Xenopus tropicalis: one gene and its partner. The protein of the gene in region 2 binds, or shares a complex with, the protein of the main gene of each other region. Links are inferred from orthologs where the notes say so. Each region holds a gene or a part of one and is shown on either strand. Other genes may lie near its edges.

Evidence for each region.
Region 1: mks1 (region 2) and tmem107 share a complex: the UniProt entries of both Homo sapiens proteins name them as parts of the tectonic-like complex. The link is inferred for Xenopus tropicalis from reciprocal best matches to the Homo sapiens genes MKS1 and TMEM107.

The regions. Positions count from the first base shown.
Region 1 is NC_030679.2:144,535,726-144,540,226, forward strand, and holds the start of tmem107 (transmembrane protein 107), read right to left. Parts: upstream 2,977-4,501; 5' UTR 2,870-2,976; exon of another isoform or gene 2,853-2,869; intron 1-2,852. UniProt on the Homo sapiens protein: Plays a role in cilia formation and embryonic patterning. Requires for normal Sonic hedgehog (Shh) signaling in the neural tube and acts in combination with GLI2 and GLI3 to pattern ventral and intermediate neuronal cell types.
Region 2 is NC_030678.2:41,734,551-41,738,918, reverse strand, and holds the start of mks1 (Meckel syndrome type 1 protein), read right to left. Parts: upstream 3,064-4,368; 5' UTR 2,931-3,063; coding exon 2,854-2,930; intron 2,773-2,853; coding exon 2,657-2,772; intron 1,094-2,656; coding exon 1,026-1,093; intron 154-1,025; coding exon 1-153. UniProt on the Homo sapiens protein: Component of the tectonic-like complex, a complex localized at the transition zone of primary cilia and acting as a barrier that prevents diffusion of transmembrane proteins between the cilia and plasma membranes.

The DNA of each region.
Region 1 (4,501 bases), on a different chromosome or scaffold from region 2:
ATAATATATCCAGGCTTCCCTGACTCCTATTACTGTATATACAGGCCAGGGACCCTCTCATATAATATATACAGGCTTCCCTGACTCCTATTACTGTATATACAGGCCAGGGACCCTCTCATATAATATATACAGGCTTCCCTGACTCCTATTACTGTATATACAGGCCGGTAACCCTCTCATATAATATATACAGGCTTCCCTGACTCCTATTACTGTATATACAGGCCAGGGACCCTCTCATATAATATATCCAGGCTTCCCTGACTCCTATTACTGTATATACAGGCCGGTAACCCTCTCATATAATATATACAGGCTTCCCTGACTCCTATTACTGTAAATACAGGCCAGGGACCCTCTCATATAATATATACAGGCTTCCCTGACCCCTATTACTGTATATACAGGCCGGCAACCCTCTCATATAATATATACAGGCTTCCCTGACTCCTATTACTGTATATACAGGCCAGGGACCCTCTCATATAATATATACAGGCTTCCCTGACTCCTATTACTGTATATACAGGCCGGTAACCCTCTCATATAATATATCCAGGCTTCCCTGACTCCTATTACTGTATATACAGGCCGGCAACCCTCTCTTATAATATATACAGGCTTCCCTGACTCCTATTACTGTATATACAGGCCGGTAACCCTCTCATATAATATATACAGGCTTCCCTGACTCCTATTACTGTATATACAGGCCGGCAACCTTCTCATATAATATATACAGGCTTCCCTGACTCCTATTACTGTATATACAGGCCGGTAACCCTCTCATATAATATATACAGGCTTCCCTGACTCCTATTACTGTATATACAGGCCGGTAACCCTCTCATATAATATATCCAGGCTTCCCTGACTCCTATTACTGTATATACAGGCCGGCAACCCTCTCATATAATATATCCAGGCTTCCCTGACTCCTATTACAGTATATACAGGCCGGCAACCCTCTCATATAATATATACAGGCTTCCCTGACTCCTATTACTGTATATACAGGCGGGTAACCCTCTCATATAATATATACAGGCTTCCCTGACTCCTATTACTGTATATACAGGCCGGCAACCCTCTCATATAATATATCCAGGCTTCCCTGACTCCTATTACTGTATATACAGGCCGGTAACCCTCTCATATAATATATACAGGCTTCCCTGACTCCTATTACTGTATATACATGCCGGCAACCCTCTCATATAATATATACAGGCTTCCCTGACCCCTATTACTGTATATACAGGCCGGCAACCCTCTCATATAATATATACAGGCTTCCCTGACTCCTATTACTGTATATACAGGCCAGGGACCCTCTCATATAATATATACAGGCTTCCCTGACTCCTATTACTGTATATACAGGCCGGTAACCCTCTCATATAATATATACAGGCTTCCCTGACTCCTATTACTGTATATACATGCCGGCAACCCTCTCATATAATATATACAGGCTTCCCTGACCCCTATTACTGTATATACAGGCCGGCAACCCTCTCATATAATATATACAGGCTTCCCTGACTCCTATTACTGTATATACAGGCCAGGGACCCTCTCATATAATATATACAGGCTTCCCTGACTCCTATTACTGTATATACAGGCCGGTAACCCTCTCATATAATATATCCAGGCTTCCCTGACTCCTATTACTGTATATACAGGCCGGCAACCCTCTCATATAATATATACAGGCTTCCCTGACTCCTATTACTGTATATACAGGCCGGTAACCCTCTCATATAATATATACAGGCTTCCCTGACTCCTATTACTGTATATACAGGCCGGCAACCCTCTCATATAATATATACAGGCTTCCCTGACTCCTATTACTGTATATACAGGCCGGTAACCCTCTCATATAATATATACAGGCTTCCCTGACTCCTATTACTGTATATACAGGCCGGTAACCCTCTCATATAATATATACAGGCTTCCCTGACTCCTATTACTGTATATACAGGCCGGTAACCCTCTCATATAATATATCCAGGCTTCCCTGACTCCTATTACTGTATATACAGGCCGGTAACCCTCTCATATAATATATCCAGGCTTCCCTGACTCCTATTACTGTATATACAGGCCGGCAACCCTCTCATATAATATATCCAGGCTTCCCTGACTCCTATTACAGTATATACAGGCCGGCAACCCTCTCATATAATATATACAGGCTTCCCTGACTCCTATTACTGTATATACAGGCGGGTAACCCTCTCATATAATATATACAGGCTTCCCTGACTCCTATTACTGTATATACAGGCCGGCAACCCTCTCATATAATATATACAGGCTTCCCTGACTCCTATTACTGTATATACAGGCCGGTAACCCTCTCATATAATATATACAGGCTTCCCTGACTCCTATTACTGTATATACATGCCGGCAACCCTCTCATATAATATATACAGGCTTCCCTGACCCCTATTACTGTATATACAGGCCGGCAACCCTCTCATATAATATATACAGGCTTCCCTGACTCCTATTACTGTATATACATGCCGGCAACCCTCTCATATAATATATACAGGCTTCCCTGACTCCTATTACTGTATATACATGCCGGCAACCCTCTCATATAATATATACAGGCTTCCCTGACTCCTATTACTGTATATACAGGCCGGCAACCCTCTCATATAATATATACAGGCTTCCCTGACTCCTATTACTGTATATACAGGCCGGCAACCCTCTCATATAATATATACAGACTTTTATAGCTACTTATACTGTATAAATTAACCATTAAATATCTCACATACAAAGTATTCCCCGGGCAGAGACCAGTTAAACCAGTAACTTACTGGAACAAAACCCTTACCCGTTCCAATCTCCGAGCCGAAAACCCGCCGCTTACCGTTGCCTAGCAACCCCTCAGCGTCCTAACCAAAACGCGCAGGATTCAGGAGATTCTGACCATTCACCTACTGAGCCCCGGTCACATGGGGCAGAAGGCAAGTCCGCCATTATTGTAGCTGGAAGTTTTAGCGCTTTGTCGTAAAAGCGACGACACATCCCTGATTATGAAACCTGTCCCAAACTAACATATATATAGATGCAAAGCCTCCACAATGGCGGCTAATCGAAAAGAAGTTACAGTTCGAGCGAAAATATATCAAGCCATAGATGCAGGGGGGAAAATAAAAAGCTGAGTTGGCAGCGGTGGGATTCGAACCCACGCCTCCAGAGAGACTGGAGCCTAAATCCAGCGCCTTAGACCGCTCGGCCACGCTACCTTCTTACTACAGGCCTGATGCACCCTGGGAATATTACTGGGTATAATGACGTCATTATGACTTTACTTCCCACAGTGAGGGAATTAACTGCATGGGAAGTTACACAAGGGATTTATATATCCTCTATACAGGTGGTTTAGGCTCCTGAAACATTGTTTCTTTCCCACCCTCCAGGGGGCGGGGGAAGCAGCACCTCCCTGTGCATACCCCTTGACTATCTGGGCCCACCAGGGTCGGACTGGGCCGCTGGGACACCGGGACAAATCCCGGCGCTCCCCCTGCCCGACCGTTCCTCCCCTGAGGCGTTAAATTTACGGGAGCTCAGGGGAGGACGTCGGGTGGGGGACCCTGTGGGGGGTTGGGGGGGTTAGGGCGGGAGCCCTGGTGTGCCCTGCACCCCCCCCAGTCCGACCCTGGGGCCCACAGATATAGCTATCTTTCACTCCCCAAAATGTGTAGGGCTGTATAACAAACTGCCTAGATCTTCTAATCAGGCATTGGCCCATCTGGAACGCTCTCCAAAGAGTGGCCCCTAAGCCAAATGGATGGAGAGCATACAAGTAAAGGTGGCCATACACGTAGCTGAAGTTCAGGGCTGAATCATCAGATAAGGAGGTAGAAACAATAGAAATTCTACCTCCTTCAGCCCTGAACGTAGATTTTGCTCGGGCGCCTTCAATGGCGCCTTCAACCGATATCCACAGCCTCTGGGATATTGGTCGCCTCTACAAGTCACCATACACGCACCGAATATTGTACGAGATGATAACATCTGTGCGTGTATGGCTGGCTTACGAATGCCTTTCTATTGTTCCGATTACTGATTGATCAGAACAGCAGGAGGGAGAGAGAAGGTGTAGTAAGGTAAACTGATAGATCGATAGAAAGAGATACTGGGGAGAAGCAGATGAAGGTCTCTCAGGGAAGAAGCGTTGGATCAAGGAGATCGTGGGAGAAGCAGATGAAGGTCTCTCTGGGAAGAAGCAGTTGGATCAAGGAGATGGTGGGAAGAAGCAGATGAAGGTCTCTCAGGGAAGAAGCAGTTGGATCAAGGAGATGGTGGGGAGAAGCAGATGAAGGTCTCTCAGGGAAGAAGCAGTTGGATCAAGGAGATGGTAGGAAGAAGGAGATGAAGGTCTCTCAGGGAAGAAGCAGTTGGATCAAGGAGATGGTGGGAAGAAGGAGATCAAGGTCTCTCGGGGAAGAAGCAGTTGGAT
Region 2 (4,368 bases):
TTCTAGGTTTGTATAGCGATCATGGTCCGTATAGGTGAAGATGCGTCTGTTTTTACGCCCCCCACCCCTCTCAAGAGACAATACATCTTGGTAGTACTGATGATCTAAAGGTGTCCTGCAGGCAGCCTCATTTTGGTATAGTTCATATTCAAACTGCAATAAATAAACAGAACAAGAGATAACATTTGTGGCTTGGCTAATGAGAAATAGCTGCAGAAGTTCTGTAGCCTCCAGTAGCCTACTTCAGCCATAGATTCCCTATTATTGCCTTTAAAAGAGAAAGGTTTAATCGCTAGGGGTACCAAATTGAAGGCACCTCCAGTAATTGTAATCACTTACCCAATACCACAGGCTGGACATCCTGTTAGCAGAAAACTGCACCGGCTGGGGGTACATCTTCAAAATCTGGGGCTGATGCATGCACACTAGAGTGAAAAGTTGAACTTTAACAAAAAGAAATCCGTCATTTTCACTCTACTGTGCATACGGCAGCCCCAGATTTTGAAGAAAGAAGAAGATAAGAAGAGAAACGCTTACTCACATGTACCCCGAGCTGGTGCAGTTTTCTGCTAACAGGAGCACAAGTCTGGGGTATCATGTAAGTGATTACAATCACTCACTAACATTTGGCACCCCTCCCTGATTGAACCTTTCCTTCTCCTTTAATATAATGTTCAACTGTGCATTTAATTGCATATTCTGTAAGTTCTAGAATAGGAACCCCATATTCCTGCTGTTGCATTAACAGAACAAATCACTAAAAAGGCTCCAGACAATAAGGCATTAAATGTACCAGCATCACTTTTCATAAGGGACCAAAATTTGTAACTTTACTTATAAAGCACCAATTAACATATATGAGATATAGATTGCCTTTAAGCAGCTTACCAGCTGTTTTAGTAACCTGCATTAGATGTGCTATTCATATAGGAAAATATATAAAAATAAATTTGAATTCAGTACTAGGCCACTTACAATTATTTGCTATGGGCTAGTGGGAAGAGAAGGCCAACAAAAGAAATTACCTGGCTATAAAGTTTCTCCTGCCAAGAAATCACCACTTCTTCCTTCTCCTCATTAGGATGAGGCCCCCCTTAAAAGACAAGATCATGACAATTAGGACAACAAAAATAATAAAAACAAAAATGCACAAAATTTGTTAATGTACTAAAGGCTTCTACTTTGTATAGTAGTAGAAACAAGATAAAACATAGTTCTTTCAGACAGATCTTGCAATTGGAGAATTCAGTTATAGTTTCAGGCATAAAGCAGAGCAAGCCATTTTTGGCAGGGAAAGAATTATACATAGCCACAGGAATATCGCCAGGATACTTATATCTGAATAGAAGCCTATCTAGGTGCATGTATTCATACTACATGCAATACTCTTCCAGTTCAGGAATGTGAAGCAAAGAGTCACTGAATGTGAGAAATCCTTGCTCGCTGTTGCCCATTTACACATTCTCTTCTCTGCTGCCTACAGACAGTCAACGTACAACTCACCCCACAGATCACCTTGTACCTGACTCTGTGTTCACAGCTCAGCCTACCTTTTCACCCTACAGACAGCTTGCAGCCAGACACAGCTCACCCTACCCTTCATAGAAATCCAGTAAATTATCCAAATGGCACTTAATACAGCAATGTGCAAACGTAGTTTTATTGGCAATCAAGGCAAATGTTTTAGGGCAACTCTCTTCTTCAAGTGCTAAAAAGTAGTGGAAATACCAAAAAGAGCGCCATACATATATTTACTACAATTTTGCTCCATGCACAGTATTTGGTTTTGTCCTGGATTAAATTTGCCCCTACCCCTCACCCTACAGCCAGCCTGCACCCAGGCACAGCTCACCCTACAACCAGCCTGCGCCCAGACACAGCTCACCCTACAGCTAGCCTGCGCCCAGGCACAGATCACCCTACAGCCAGCCTGCGCCCAGGAAAAGCTCACCCTACAGCCAGCCTGCGCCCAGGCACAGCTCACCCTACAGCCAGCCTGCGCCCAGGCACAGCTCACCCTACAGCCAGCCTGCGCCCAGGCACAGCTCACCCTACAGCCAGCCTGCGCCCAGGCACAGCTCACCCTACAGCCAGCCTGCGCCCAGGCACAGCTCACCCTACAGCCAGCCTGCGCCCAGGCACAGCTCACCCTACAGCCAGCCTGCGCCCAGGCACAGCTCACCCTACAGCCAGCCTGCGCCCAGGCACAGCTCACCCTACAGCCAGCCTGCGCCCAGGCACAGCTCACCCTACAGCCAGCCTGCGCCCAGGCACAGCTCACCCTACAGCCAGCCTGCGCCCAGGCACAGCTCACCCTACAGCCAGCCTGCGCCCAGGCACAGCTCACCCTACAGCCAGCCTGCGCCCAGGCACAGCTCACCCTACAGCCAGCCTGCGCCCAGGCACAGCTCACCCTACAGCCAGCCTGCGCCCAGGCACAGCTCACCCTACAGCCAGCCTGCGCCCAGGCACAGCTCACCCTACAGCCAGCCTGCGCCCAGGCACAGCTCACCCTACAGCCAGCCTGCGCCCAGGCACAGCTCACCCTACAGCCAGCCTGCGCCCAGGCACAGCTCACCCTACAGCCAGCCTGCGCCCAGGCACCATGCAGCCTTAAAAATGAAAGGGAAACACACAATATGGCCGGATCACTCACTGTTCGCCTCTGGGTTGTTGTGCAGCGCCTGTAGTTCGAGTCCTCCTCTATTTGCATCCTCCTCCTGCACCCGCTGTACCAGAGCAATGGCCGGGGTAACCCGCTGCAGAGTCACTCTGAAGACAAATAAGACACTGAGTAACTAGCGCTCCACATGCGAGTAGGGCTGCGAACAACAATAACCCCTTGACACTCACCGAATCCTCAGATTCTTTATGGGGTCCCGGGATCTGTACACTGCCTCCCCAACATCCTGATTCCAGTCTTCCGCCATATTTCAGAAAAGCGCGTCGCAATTGCCTAGGCAACCGAATCGGCAACTCTAATTGGCCACCACGTAACGCGTAGCAGCCGAGATTTAGCGGCGCACTGTAACCTACCGCTGATATCCGTGCGTCATGTCACTGCGCGACTGAGGCTACAAATAGCAAGCGCGATGTGCGTCTAATAGTTTGGGAGCCATAACAGTCCATGTGTCTTGCAAATCTTTTAATATGCGTTAAAATACCTCCAATAATCCAGCTCCTTAAATCAGACAGGTGAATTAGATATCGCCAGTCTGATCTCGCGAGAATGTGACGTCACACCACACAGCTATATATACAGCGTACCTCGGTTATTTCACTACGTGATGCAGTTAAAAACATGGGCTTGCTGTTCGCGGCTTTTATTTTATGTTATATTTATTAATTTTTACTACTAGTCATTTTTCCCGCTCGCACTTTTAATACTTTTGCTGAGGTTACTCTGCTCCTGATATTTAGCCAATAGTGCAGGTCGCTGTATGTGAGGATTCGGGCCATGCTCTTCTCAGTTCAGGGACTTATTTAGCAAATAAAATGGGTGATACGTACCAGCCCTAATCTTTTAGGCTTTTTTTCATGTTGGTATCACAGTAATTGTTAACTCTGGTCTAAGGTTATGTTTTTTGGAAAGTCACGTTTATGTGAAAATTGAGACCATGTTTTTGACAATCTAGGGCTAAAAAGAGTCATTTTTGAGAATAGAATGGGTGAATTACGTGGACAGCATTGGTGTCTGAGGGGCCTAGTGTTTTTGTGAAGACAGACCATATTTTTTAGTTTGGAGACAGAACCAAGGGCTAATTTAGTAAGACTATGGGTCAATTTGACCAAATGGTCAAAGGTTTAGGGTTTATTTTTTTGGTGGTATAAGAGGATCCCAATGTTTGATGTGCAAATTAGGGAAATAATTTTCACAAATTTGTGCCTAAAAGGTTTAGTTATGAGAATATAATGGGTAAAATATATATTTTAGGCTCTTTTTATCAGAGGGTGTCTGGTTTTGTGTAAATAAGGGCTGGATTTCGGTAAAAGGGTGAAATTAACCAAAATAAATAATTTACATTCACTCTGGTCGTAACTTAAAAGTGTGCAGGTTTCCTGTCAGTTCTGCCGCAGAAGGTTCTGGGCCCCAAAAGGGTATTGGTAAGGAGCAGTGCTGGCAGGGGGTTTTCCTGTTTCATGGGGGAGATAAAGAATATATTGGTGAAATATACCATCAGTAATCTGTAGTTGTTAGGCTTTTTTCACAGTGGCATCAGAGGGTCCCAGTATATTTTTAGGTATGGCTACTAGCTTTTTCACAATTTATGAACAGACCAATGGCTAATTTAGGACAAGAAAATGGGTAAACTTGACCAAAACCAATTGAGAGTTTATAGGCTTTTTTTAATCTTTTTTATTTTGGTA